Linked DNA regions of Canis lupus familiaris. Each later gene encodes a partner of the first gene's protein in a complex. Links are inferred from orthologs where the notes say so. Each region holds a gene or a part of one and is shown in the gene's direction. Other genes may lie near its edges.

Region 1 (2,990 bases):
CAGCAGGCACCCATGATAGGTACCATGACTCCTCTGGGTGCGCAGGGCGTCCAGGCCGGCGTGCGATCGGCGTCCATCCTGCCTGAGCAGCAGCAGCAGCAGCAACAGCAGCAACAGCAGCAGCAGCAGCAGCAACAGCAGCAACAGCAGCAGCAGCAGCAGCAGCAGCAGCAGCAGCAACAACAGCAGTATCACATCCGACAGCAGCAACAGCAGCAGATTTTGCGGGTGAGGCCCCAGGCCTTCAAGTGGGACCTGGGCACCCCCGGAGGGGGAGAGGCAGGTGCTCTTCCAGGGTTTGACATGATGGTGAACCGAGTGAAGCCGGCACCCACTCCCTGGAGCACCCCAAGCACGCAGTAGGGGCCTGAGAAGTTCCTACCCTCCCCCCTGTGTCCCCCCCCACCCCCGCCACTGGCTTCTGGGGTGGTCAGTGGGATCTCCCTGGGAGTCTTGCGCTATTAAGGGGGACAGTGGACCAGTTCCCCTCCCCAGAGCCACCACCATGTCTGAGGCTCACTGCCCTTGTTTGTAGCAGCAGCAGCAGCAGCAACAGCAGCAGCAGCAGCAGCAGCAACAACAACAGCAGGCACACCAGCAGCAGCAGCAGGCAGCTCCTCCCCAGCCCCAGCCCCAGTCCCAGCCCCAGGTAGCTGCTGGGCCATAGCCCCTGGCTCAGGGACAGTTGCCCAGGTTGGGCACAGCATTTTGGGGGCAGTGGGGGGGTGAGTAGAGGTGGGAGGCAAGGTGGGGCACTCCAAAAAGGGAGTCAGGAGATGAGGATGAAAAAGGAAGCGGAAAGTTCGAGATCAGTCTTCCACTTCCGGTTTCCACCTCAGTTCCAGCGCCAGGGGCTTCAGCAGACACAGCAACAGCAACAGACAGCAGCTTTGGTCCGGCAGCTCCAACAACAGCTTTCTAGTAAGCCTGCTTTCCTCTCTAGGGAGAGCCCCAGGGACTACATGGTGGTGGGGGGGCGGGGAGGGCAGGTGACCGCTTCAGGCCCAGGTTGGGGTGGGGTGATGGGTGTGAAGCATGGCATCCTGTCCCTTACTTTGGTACTCAAATAGCCTTTCTCCTACATACCTATATCCTTGCCTGGTCTCCCAGCCCTGATGACCTCTGGTTTTCCACAGATACCCAGCCACAGCCCAGTACCAACATATTTGGACGCTACTGAGCCATCTGGAAGAACTGCCTGGATGTAGCCCCACCCCTTCCTATTAATTCCCAGTCCCCTTCTTGGGCTAGCACCAGTAGTGGTTGGGGCTCTTCCCTCAGGCTCCATTTTTAATAAGTTTTTAGTATTTTTGTTAATGTGAGGCATTGAGCTGTTGGGTTTTGTATATTATTTATATAGAGACCCCAGAGCTGTTGCACCCAATACACAGAGCTTCTTTGCAAAGGGAGTGTGTGAGTTCTGCATGGTGGGGAAGGGCAGGCTCTGAGGAGAGTGCTGGGGGCTGGACCAACCAGTCAGAGCCTTTGTTCTGTTCTGTTCCAATCAGCTCTCCTGTTTACCTTCCATCCCACCAATTTCTAGATTCCAATTGGATTGCTACTCTCTTCTCCCTTCTTCAACCTGACAACATATTATATACGTTGGGGCCCTTAGTTTCTTAAGAAGGGCAGCTTACCTTCTCAGCTAGATGTTGGGGGTTCTTTGTAGCTTCTCTCCATGAGGGATAGACCACTAGGGTGGGGGAGGGGCTGATAGGCCAGAGGGGAAAAAATCAGTGGAACCTGATTTTTCTGCCCCCCACTCCCTGTGCTGCTGGGTTTTGAACAAGCTTCCAGGGTGGAGGGTGTGACTGGCACTGCCTACCCTTTTGGCCAACCTCTGCGCTCCCTGTCATATACCAAGCAGCATCCTAGAGAACTTCTCCCAAGAGTCACATTTCTGGGATGAACTGGGATGAAAAATTGCCCTCCATTGGCATGTGTCACCATTGAATTGGTGGTGGAAGGAAGGTATGGTTCTGAGAGGAAGAGAGACCCAGGAAAAGGAAGGACCCTTTTCTCTCTTTGCTCTGTTGCTGGAAACTGTTTTCACCTGACCCACCTTGGCAGTTACCCAGGATGACTGTTGATCCCTCCCATTTTACAGTAGAGAAAACTCAAAACTGTTGCTCCAGAGTCACATTTGGAACTGTGGCGGGGTCATTTGCAGCCCCTTTGCCTTCAGGTTTGAGGCAGTACATAAAGGCTATTCAGGAGAGTCAACTGGTGTACTACAAAGGAGTCTTCTGGTATGTCCAGCTGGGGCTTGAAGAGGACCAACCTCAGCCTTGTTGGTGGGTGGTACCGGATGATTTGACAACTTCAGGGTAACATCCAAGCCATAGTCACACTGGGTCACTGGCAAGTGTCACATGTGCTGGTAAAACCGAGGATCAGCCATCAATACCCAAACACCAGAAAATAAAAAATAAAAATAAATAAAATCCCCCTTTGAGGTCCAGAACGCCCTTGCTCATATGGGACTTACCAAGTTTCAGAGTTGTGTTCACAAGGAACAGATCTCCCCGGACAGGGTCAAGGCAGATGTGACCAAAGCTTGCTTCTGATCTGTTCTATCCAGACAAAAACATTCTGATGAGCTACAGGGTTAGGGGCTCAGCTGAGATAAGGGACACTCAGGGGGACTTACAGTGGTGGTGGTGGGGGCTAAATGAATGGGACAGGTGCACCATATACAGAAACATGAGACATAAAGCTGGATCTGGAGGGGAGAGCCTGAAATGGTGGGACAACTGGCGTGCTGTCTGACATGCCCCAACAGAAGCAGCAGAAAGGAACAACCGTTGACTTTTGGGAGAGTGACAGGACGAGAGCAAAGTACCCCTACCCCTCCACTGGTTGCTGCTTGCCTTGTGCGGGTGCTGAGGAGGGGAGAAGCAAGGGATGCTGAGCAAGGTGGAGGCTTGTCTTCTGTAGAGTATGACTGCGGGCTCTTGCAGACAGCAGTGCCTCAGTTTCTCCCTTTGTTT
Region 2 (3,203 bases), on another chromosome or scaffold:
CATAAAGTCTTAAATAAACTGTTTTAACCAAAAAAATACTGAATTTTCACATTAGTGTGACATTTTTATAGGTAGCAAAATAATAATAATACATAGTGCTTTCTTTGTGTCAGGTACCTTTAGAATTGCTTTCCATATATTAACTCATTTAATTCTGAAAACAAACCTATGGTAGCTGGCACTATTTTTAATCTCCATTTGACAAATGAGGTTGCAAAGAGATTAAGCAACTTGTCCAAAGTCACTCAGATAATAAAGGTCTTCAAGTCTCCATTCATAACCCCTCTGTACTTCACAAGTTCTGTATCAAGCACCATATTTATTTAGACAGGGATAACACTGGCCAGGAGAGCTTTCTCTGATGATCTGTGCTGTGCAATAGGATAACTCCTAGCCACATGTGGCTCTTGAGCTCTAGAAATGTACCTGATATGATTGAGAAATTGATTTTTTTAAGTTTAATTTGGTTTTAAATCTAAATAGTCACATGTGACTACTCTATTATTTGTGTTATAATAGTTTTTTTCCCTTTATAGAAAAAGAATAGAAAATATAAGAGTTTAGTCTTGTTCTAAATTGGACAAAACAATTTGCATAATGTAGATCATTGGTTTAGAATAAGGTAAAGGTTTTGTTTACTTCTTAGAACCAAGTAAGATCATGATTATTAGAATTACTAAATGTGAATTACTATGTTAAATGTAATAATCCAGTTTTTCTCTTGTTAATTTGGGGGAATAAATACCGCTCAAATTGTAGTGTTTCATCAAAAAACATGTACATCCCACATATGGCCAAGGATATAACTATAAGAAATAACACAATGTTTTTATGATTTATGATTTCAGCTTCAGAAGTTACTTACTATGGACCCAATAAAGCGAATTACCTCAGAACAGGCTATGCAGGATCCCTATTTCTTAGAAGATCCACTTCCTACATCAGAGTAAGTGATCAGTTTATTAACTCACCAGCATGATAGAATTTTCTGGAGTGGGCTTGTTTGAGTTGTCAACTCCAAGTTGCCACTCGCATTACATGGGGACCTAGGGAAATCCCAGTGACATGAGCTCTGATGACTGAGGTGTCATTTAGGGCTTTTACAGTGAAAAGGCATTCCTGTTCATGTCTTACTTTATGAAACATTACCAGCTTTATTTTCAGCCGTGCCCCAATTATTCAGTGACAGGTTAATTATGCATGCTGTAGCTCACTCAGACTCACTGAGATGGCCCACTGCTTACAGTTACAGTTTTGTGTTTTAATTACAAAATCCCATTCCCAAATAAATTTGTGTTCCCCATGTCATCTCTTATGTGTAGAAGGGAGAGTAAAAAAAAAAATTGTGTTCAAATAGTGACATTTCCACTGGAATCTATATTTGGATTGTAACAATAAAAGAGTGAGTCTGGGATAAAAGAAAGTTGAGTCATATTCGATGATTATTGATTATTTTCACACAATGAAAATCCTTCCCATGGTCTGCTACAATGTCCCTAGTTAGAAGAAAAGATTCATTTTGGCACAGTTGCATGAAGGGTGCTTATTTTACAAATAAGGACACAAAGTCCATCTTAAAAGATTAAAATGAAGCATCTGAGATACTGATTAGCATACTAGAAATTTTCTTTTTTTGTTGTGAGCAGCGTTTTTGCCGGTTGTCAAATCCCTTACCCAAAACGAGAATTTTTAACAGAAGAAGAACCCGATGACAAAGGAGACAAAGTAAGTATTAAAGTACATTTGGCTGCTGCTTGTTTTATTCCATCTACCGTGTAACATTTTCTTGTTTGTATTTGGTTCTCCTTCTGAGTTGAACTTTATTTTTCTGTTTAACCAATTGAGAAGAACCAGCAGCAGCAGCAGGGCAATAACCATACTAATGGAACCGGTCACCCAGGGAATCAAGACAGCAGTCATACACAGGGACCCCCATTGAAAAAAGTGAGAGTTGTTCCTCCTACCACTACCTCAGGTGGACTCATCATGACCTCAGACTATCAGGTATTTCCAGTTCATTGTGTATTGACTGGCCATATCAGTATTTGTAGATGGGTTTGTGACCTAAGAAAATGCTGACCTTCATGTCCCCGGGGAAAATATAGTGATGTGAGTTGTTATTGGCACAGCAGAGTACTGACTGTGGTACCGGACAGGGGGCCGACTTTTGAACTAAACAGACCTGGAATGATCAGACTTATAAATTATGCCATTTATGAACTGTGTGACCTTGGACAAATAAAATTTCCTGGCCTTTTCACCTGTAAAATGAGACTAGCCAAGCCTTGCTTGTAGTTGTTATAGGAATAGACATGATAAGTCCTAGCACCTGACTTATAGTAGGAGCTCAATCAGTATTGTGCATTGTTTTGAAACAACAGGTATATCAAGAATGATTAAGAATGATTAAGAAAGCTACATCTAAGGCTTTCAGGGGCATCTGGGTGGCTTGGTCTGTTAAGCTTCTGCCTTTGGCTCAGGTCATGATTCCAGGGTCCTGGGATTGAGCCCGTATCAGGTTCTGTGCTCAACAAGGATCCTGCTTCTCCCTCTCCCTCTCCCCTCTGCTCATGTTCTCTCTTGCTTGCTCTCTCTCAAGTAAATGAATAGCATCTTTAAAAAAAAACACAGACTTTCAGATCCCAGCCTAGCCACTGACTTTGGGTAACCTTGAGTAAAGTAATTCAGATGTTCTCAGTTTTCTCATTTGTAGAAGTGATGATGGCAAGTGTGAGGTGGTAGCAAGGATTAAATGAGAGGACGTACGCTAAGGCACAGTGGCTAGCATGCCATAGTGCTTAACAGATGTTACCACTTTTTATCATTTTTATTATCATTATCATCAAAATTATTAGTAGTGTTCATAGTATGCAGTAAGCATTTACTAAGTGGTGGTGGTGGTGCTGGTGATAACTAATAATAAGAGTTTGTTGGGTGTTTACTATGCCAGCTTTTTTACTAAGCATGAAACTTACATTATTTCCTTTGATCATTATGGGAACTCTGTGAGTAAGGGTTATTGTCATATCAGAGATGCTCAGAGAAGAACTTTCACATATTTACCTGTTGAGCTGGGGGTAGACCCAGGATACAGTCTAAGATCTGACAACCAAGACTGCTCTGTTGCCTGCCTGTGGATCCCATCAAGTGGTATTGTCAGTTTCTTTGCAGAAAGACAACTTGGAAAATCATATACCACCTCC
Region 3 (3,574 bases), on another chromosome or scaffold:
AGTAAGTTAACTTTATCTTTTAATGATGTTTACTTTAGAAAACTTGAACATATGTTGATATACTTTTGTTTGAGTATTTTTGTTATGTTTTTTCTTTTAAGGGGAAAAGGTTAATATTATCAGACCTTTTTAAGGCTATGAGCACATTATTCTACATATGTAATTCCAGTAATAGTGAATACATGTTATAATTTCTCATACTTTTCCCCTTGATATTTGCAACAGGACATCTGGAAAAGACCTAGGTAGTTGATAAATAGTACTCTCATTAGGAAGAAACAATACAGAATGGCTACTTTTTAAAGACCAGAGAGGTGCTGTGTAATGAGTGAAGGAGATTCTACTTTTCGCCACAGTGACTAGGGTATGCACTATGAGGACATTGGACAGATTGCAGCATGACTTGAAGACTGAAGCCAGGAAGATCAAGGGAATAATTCATAAAGGGTATTTGAAGGAACTGGAGGTACTTAGATTGAATTTTCAAAGTCCTAGGGAATTGTTCGTGTTCTCATTATTTGGAAGGTTGCCATTCAGAATAGGCATTAGATTTGTTCTGTGTCACTTCAAAAGGCGTATAAACTCCAGTAAAGTTAAAGGGAGGCACATTCTGCTCAGCATGTAAAGAGCCAGTTCCTAGTAAAGTGATCTGAAAATGGAAAGGATGTCCTTGAATCATAACTGAGTTTCCTATCTATAGGAAACAGAAGCTTGGCTCTTTCAGAGGGAAGAGGTAGGTCAGGTAGGTGAAATGACCTCCCCTCCATAGCTTAACGTTAATTTTTTCTCTGGTAGGAAAGGAAGGTAAACTGATATTTAAACCTATGAATCCTAGTCTACTGGATTCTTGACTTGGAGCTAGGGACATGGGGTGGGGAGGATATTGACTCCCTTATTGCCTCAGCAAGATTGTCACAGTTGAGTGGGAACCAATACAGAAATGTTTTATTTAGCATATCTTTTATATCTGGACCTGAGAAACTTTGACACAGGGAATACAGAAAAGAAAAATTATTGGGCAATCTCTTCTGGTAAGGTCAAAGAACATTTGAATAAAGCTAAGAAAACCATGGAACTGCTTGATGTTTTTTATTTCTTTAAAATATTTTAAGTAAAAGTAGATCTAATATTATTTTGTTTGAATTCCAAGTATAAATCAAAACCAAAACATTAATTTATAGATAAATGTTACAGATATAAGTTATTCATATAACTTCAAAGTTTAATCATGCTTCTGTGATGATGGCATTTGAAAAGGGTGGTGAACTGGGGGCCTGGGTGGTATAGTTGGTTAAGTGTCTGACTCTTGGTTTCAGCTTAGGTTGTGATCTTGCAGTCATGAGATGGAGACCTGTGTCAGGCTCCGTGCTCAACTCGGAGTCTGCTTGAGATTCTTCCTCTCCCTCTGCCCCTCCCACTTATACTTGCTCGCTCTCTCTCACAAGTAAATAAATAAATAAATATCTTTTTTTTTTTTTAGAGAGATTTATTTATTTATTCATGAGAGACGCAGAGAGAGGCAAAGACATAGGCAGAGGGAGAAACAGGCTCCATGCAGGGAGCCCGATGTGGGACTCGATCCTCAGATCTCAGGATCACGACCTGAGCCAAAAGGCAGATGCTCAATTGCTGAGCCATGCAGGCATCCCTAAATAGATAAATCTTAAAAATATATATTTGAAAAAGAAAAGGATGGTGAGCTGGTTGGATGCATAAAATTTCTAGTGTAGGGGATCCCTGGGTGGCACAGCGGTTTGACTCCTGCCTTTGGCCCAGGGCACGATCCTGGAGACTCAGGATCGAGTCCCACCCACATCGGGCTCCTGGTGCATGGAACCTGCTTCTCCCTCTGCCTGTGTCTCTGCCTCTCTCTCTCTCTGTATGACTATCATAAATAAAATTTAAAAAAAATTTTTTTTTAATTTCTAGTGTAAGCTATATTAACTTTTCACAGTGGGATGACTGGCTGGCTAGGTAAGTGAGTATGTTTTTGTAAGTTGATACATATATAGACTATATGTACATACTCATATGCACATACATAATGTGTTTGAGGGAGAACACAATTTTTTTCCTCATGTAAGAGAGAAATGATTTTATTTGCTTTTGTTAAAACATAAAACACATAAAGAAACTTCTCATCCACTCCCTAGTTTATTGCCTCCATATGTGTATAAAGCACTTTTTTAAGGGTGGGAGGTTGAAATTCTCTGGTTAAAATACTTTTTAATGTGTTTATTTCTTAGGTAGAGAAGATTATTTGTAATTTAAAACCAGCTTTAAAACTTCGTCTTCGATTCATCACACACATTAGCAAGATGGAACCACCTGCAGTGCCTCCACAAGCCATAAATAGTGGGTCTCCAGCTCCTCAGTCTAATCAGGTGCCAGTGTCATTACCAGTAACTCAGTGAAGTCCTCTCATGTACGGTGTTGACAATGGAAATACATTTGTCTTTGAAAATGGACTCTAATCTATTAAATCTGAACATAATCAGGCTACATAGTGGTGTAGTAGAAGCAGTGATGTTCAGATTGTCTTATTTTGATTCAAACGATGAATCTACTGATACTTTATGACTCCCACCTCTCTATCTATATTTTTGTCTCTAAGAGATCAAGTAAGCTACATGTTGGCCATATCTATAACTGTTAGTGCTACCTAGTAATACGGAGGGTATCTGTGGTCAAATGAGTTTCATTAGATACTTCCAGTCTTTCTTATTCTAGCCACTGGTTTTATTTTTAATTTTTATTGTTAATGACTTCAGTGTTCAAATATATTGGAAAAGAGTTCTCAAATGATTTTATACATAAGTCTCTTTTGGTGTATGTTTGGGATAAGAGATTTTTTTTTTGTCAAGTGAAGGCCTCTAGATTTCATTGCATCTCAGGACCAAACACAGTTGCATATTCTTTTAAAAATGGCTTAAAATTTTTACCATAGGCTTCCAAATAAATGGGTTAATGGTTCTATCAACGTAGATTGGCAAGTTAGTTGCCTTTGCTGTGGACTTGAACTTATTGTATGAAATGAGTTGGAAGCCATGTAAGAAAATAACATAGAGGGACACCTGGGTGGCTCAGTGGTTGAGCATCTGCCTTTGGTTCAGGGCGTGACCGTGGGGTCCCAGGATCGAGTCCCACATCAAGCTCTCTGCGTGGAGCCTGCTTCTCCCTCTGCCTGTGTCTCTGCCTCTCTCTCTCTTTCTGTCTCTCATGAATAAATAAATAAATAAAATCTTTAAAAAATAAATAACATAGAAATGCATACACTTAATAAAATCATGCTTAAATGGTGATTCTCCAATCTCTGTTATTTAAAACAAATTAATTGCTTTCCAAGTTTGACACTTTGACCTGGCCTATGATGCGATTCTTTAAATTTTTATAAAAAATCTTAAAATTTTTAAGTATTTGTATTTTTAAATATAGCATAGTTTTTGGTTCTTTAGGGTTTATCAGATTTTGAAAGACAAACTGTTAATTTGGGCAGAGAGAGAATGGCATTAAGATTGTAAAAGACTTGAAAAATAATCAGTAAAATCTGTTGGATAAATAAACGGTTTGATTA
Region 4 (2,885 bases), on another chromosome or scaffold:
CACGAGCTGAAGACTTGAAGAAAGTATTCAGGTTTGGCATGCAGATACCAGTGAGAAAATTTTTCTAAGTGTAGGGGCTAAGGGAAGAGGTTCTGAATAGAAATACTTTATCAAATACTTGGCAATTTTAGGAAATAACAGGAAGATCACTGTGGCTGGTGAGAGGATCTAGGGAGATAGTGGAAAGAAATGATGTTGGACTGGTAGCAGGGACCACAATGTATAGGGCCTTGTAGATGATGATAAAGACATTGGGATTTATTCTGAATGACAAGGGAAGGCATTGGAGGATTCTGAGCAGAATATCATTATCTGCTTTATATTCTAAAAAGACCACTTGGCTGTTATGGGGAGAAGGGTAGAAGCAGGCAAGAAATAAAGGAGATTTGGACTAGATGGAAATGAATGAGGGGCTGAGAAGTGGTTGGATTATGCATGTATTTTTAAAATATGGATTGGGTGTAGGATATGGGGGAAAGAAAGGAATCAGGATGATTCTGTGGTTTGGAGCCTGGGGAACTAGAAGCAGAGAGCTTCCATTCACTATGATGGGAAAGACTGCAAGAGGAATAAGATTGTGAAGGAAAAGCCAACAATTGGATACTCAACATATGAAGATGAAGATATCTGTTAGGTATCCACGTGGAGAAACTGAGTAGACAGTTGGCTATATGAGTCTATAGTTCATGAGTTAAACATGGGAGGCCTCAGGGCATAAGTGGCATTTAAAACCATAGCACCAAATTAGGTCACCTTGAGAGGAAGAGATTGTTAAAAAGAGGACCAGGATTGAGTCCTAGGATCCTTTAGTATTTAGGGAAGGTGAGAAAGATCCAGCAAAGTAGACTTAAAAGGAATGGTCAGTGAGTTAGGTAAAGAACTAAGAGTTGTGTCCCAGAGGCCAAGGGAAGAATAGATTCAAGGTGGGTATAATCTAACAACCATGTCAGATGCTGCTAGGAGGATGAATAAGATGAGAACAAAGATCAGTCTATTTTTATGGAGCACTTCATTTTCTTTTACTTAAATATTTTACAAAAAAAGGAAATGTTATAATCTATAGATCGAAAACTTGTGTTGCTAGAAATAAAAGATAATTTTTTAAATAAATGACAAGAGTACTATTATTCTCGTTGTTAAAGCCTCTGAGCCCAGAGCCCACTGGCAATTACCATTTAGGGAAGGCCTAAAGGCTTTCTAGTACCAAATAAGACAATGCAAAAAACTGAAAGGGGATTAAGTTTCTCATAGTGTTATCTAATACCTTGGCAGCATAACCCCTCTGAAATCTCATATATTGGACCTGTGCTCTACAAAACACTGCAATAAACTGTTTCGGTTTTTCATTTAAATTTTTTCAGTCTTTTGCTAATCCCAGTACTCCAAATGAAAGATGGGACTCAACAATGCTCTTTTGTTCTTCAGGAAGTGTTTTAGATCACAGTTTGGAAAGCCTCATCCATCGCCTTCGTGGTTTGTGTGACAACATGGAACCTGAGACTTTCCTTGACCATGAAATGGTGTTCCTCCTTAAGGGCCAGCAGGCTAGTCCATTTGTTCTAAGGGCTCGGCGTTCTATGGATAGGGGCGGGGCACCCTGGCATCTACGCTACCTGGGACAACCGGAAATGGGAGACAAGAACCGCCATGCCCTGGTGCGAAATTGTGTGGACATTGCAACATCTGAGAACCTCACTGACTTCTTGATGGAAATGGGCTTCCGCATGGACCATGAGTTTGTTGCCAAGGGTCACTTGTTCCGTAAGGGTATCATGAAGATTATGGTATACAAGATCTTCCGCATCCTGGTACCAGGAAACACAGACAGCACTGAGGCCTTGTCACTTTCCTATCTTGTGGAACTGAGTGTTGTTGCACCAGCTGGGCAGGACATGGTCTCTGATGACATGAGGAACTTTGCCGAGCAGCTGAAACCTCTGGTTCACCTAGAGAAAATAGACCCCAAAAGGCTCATGTGACTAAGACAGTCTGACCGCCACTGGGGCCTATCCTCACCTGTTATAAAAGAGAAGATGTTACAAATGCCCCATTTCATTACTACCAGCCAGGCATTCTTAGGAGGACAGTAAGAACTTAGTTGGGTCTTTACACTGTTTTCCTCACGTGACAAGTTCACTTTTGTGACAGCCTTTCCAAATTAAAGGCTCAGGATAACATGAGAAGTCTATCTAGTCCCTTTGTATAAAGAGAGGAAACTAGAATAAATTAGCTTTCAGAAAGAAAAATCTTTTAATTGTTTTGCTATTTGTGTGTAAGGTTTATAGAGACTGTGAGCTTGTATTGTGGGGTAATAAAGGCTATGAAGAGAAGCATCTGTGATTCCAATTCTTTATTACCCTGCTAATTCGGGGTGGATTCACTACCAATTGGAACCAAAAAAAATGACAGTTTTTTTTTTTTTTTAAGATTTTATTTATTTATTCATGAGAGACACAGAGGGAGAGGCACCATAGGCAGAGGGAGAAGCATGCTCCATGCAGGGAGCCCGATGTGGGACTCAATCCTGGGACTCCAGATTGCCCTGGGCCAAAGGCAGATGCTCAACCACTGAGCCATCCAGGCATCCCAAAAAATGACAGTTTTTAGTTTGAATCCTGATAAAGGTAATAGTTTTTACCTTTAACCAAAGTAGCACGTTCACTGAAAAACTTTTCTTTATTTATTTTTTAATATTTATTTATTCATGAGAGACACACAGAGAGAGAGGCAGAGACACAGGCAGAGGCAGAGGGAGGACCAGGCTCCATGCAGGGAGCCCAATGCCGGACTCCATTCCAGGTCTCCAGGATCATGCCCTGGGCTGAAGGCAGACGCCCAACCACTGAGCCACCCAGGCATCCCTCTTTTTTTGTTTAATCTATAAT

Evidence for each region. The genes of interacting proteins can lie anywhere in the genome.
Region 2: the proteins of MED12 (region 1) and CDK8 are in contact, whole or in part, in a cryo-EM structure (PDB 8TQ2), measured with the Homo sapiens proteins. The link is inferred for Canis lupus familiaris from reciprocal best matches to the Homo sapiens genes MED12 and CDK8. Residues at the interface, in NP_005111.2 of Homo sapiens: Pro26, Gln27, Gln31, Glu33, Asp34, Leu36, Asn40, Val41, Lys42, Gln43, Gly44, Phe45, Asn47; in NP_001251.1 of Homo sapiens: His143, Ala144, Trp146, Phe180, Asn181, Ser182, Pro183, Pro186, Ala208, Arg209, His210, Thr212, Lys213, Met273, Pro274, Pro320.
Region 3: MED12 (region 1) and MED23 share a complex: the UniProt entries of both Homo sapiens proteins name them as parts of the mediator complex. The link is inferred for Canis lupus familiaris from reciprocal best matches to the Homo sapiens genes MED12 and MED23.
Region 4: MED12 (region 1) and MED18 share a complex: the UniProt entries of both Homo sapiens proteins name them as parts of the mediator complex. The link is inferred for Canis lupus familiaris from reciprocal best matches to the Homo sapiens genes MED12 and MED18.

Annotation. Positions count from the first base shown.
Region 1 is NC_049260.1:55,703,221-55,706,210, forward strand, and holds the end of MED12 (mediator of RNA polymerase II transcription subunit 12), read left to right. Parts: coding exon 1-228; coding exon of another isoform or gene 229-363; exon of another isoform or gene 364-385; intron 386-535; coding exon 536-649; intron 650-839; coding exon 840-921; intron 922-1,136; coding exon 1,137-1,180; 3' UTR 1,181-2,448; downstream 2,449-2,990. UniProt on the Homo sapiens protein: Component of the Mediator complex, a coactivator involved in the regulated transcription of nearly all RNA polymerase II-dependent genes.
Region 2 is NC_049246.1:13,124,114-13,127,316, reverse strand, and holds part of CDK8 (cyclin-dependent kinase 8), read left to right. Parts: intron 1-848; coding exon 849-946; intron 947-1,646; coding exon 1,647-1,725; intron 1,726-1,845; coding exon 1,846-2,004; intron 2,005-3,203.
Region 3 is NC_049233.1:379,045-382,618, forward strand, and holds part of MED23 (mediator of RNA polymerase II transcription subunit 23), read left to right. Parts: coding exon 1-1; intron 2-2,246; coding exon 2,247-2,414; 3' UTR 2,415-3,574. UniProt on the Homo sapiens protein: Required for transcriptional activation subsequent to the assembly of the pre-initiation complex. Component of the Mediator complex, a coactivator involved in the regulated transcription of nearly all RNA polymerase II-dependent genes.
Region 4 is NC_049223.1:71,505,594-71,508,478, reverse strand, and holds the end of MED18 (mediator of RNA polymerase II transcription subunit 18), read left to right. Parts: intron 1-1,425; coding exon 1,426-1,979; 3' UTR 1,980-2,330; downstream 2,331-2,885. UniProt on the Homo sapiens protein: Component of the Mediator complex, a coactivator involved in the regulated transcription of nearly all RNA polymerase II-dependent genes.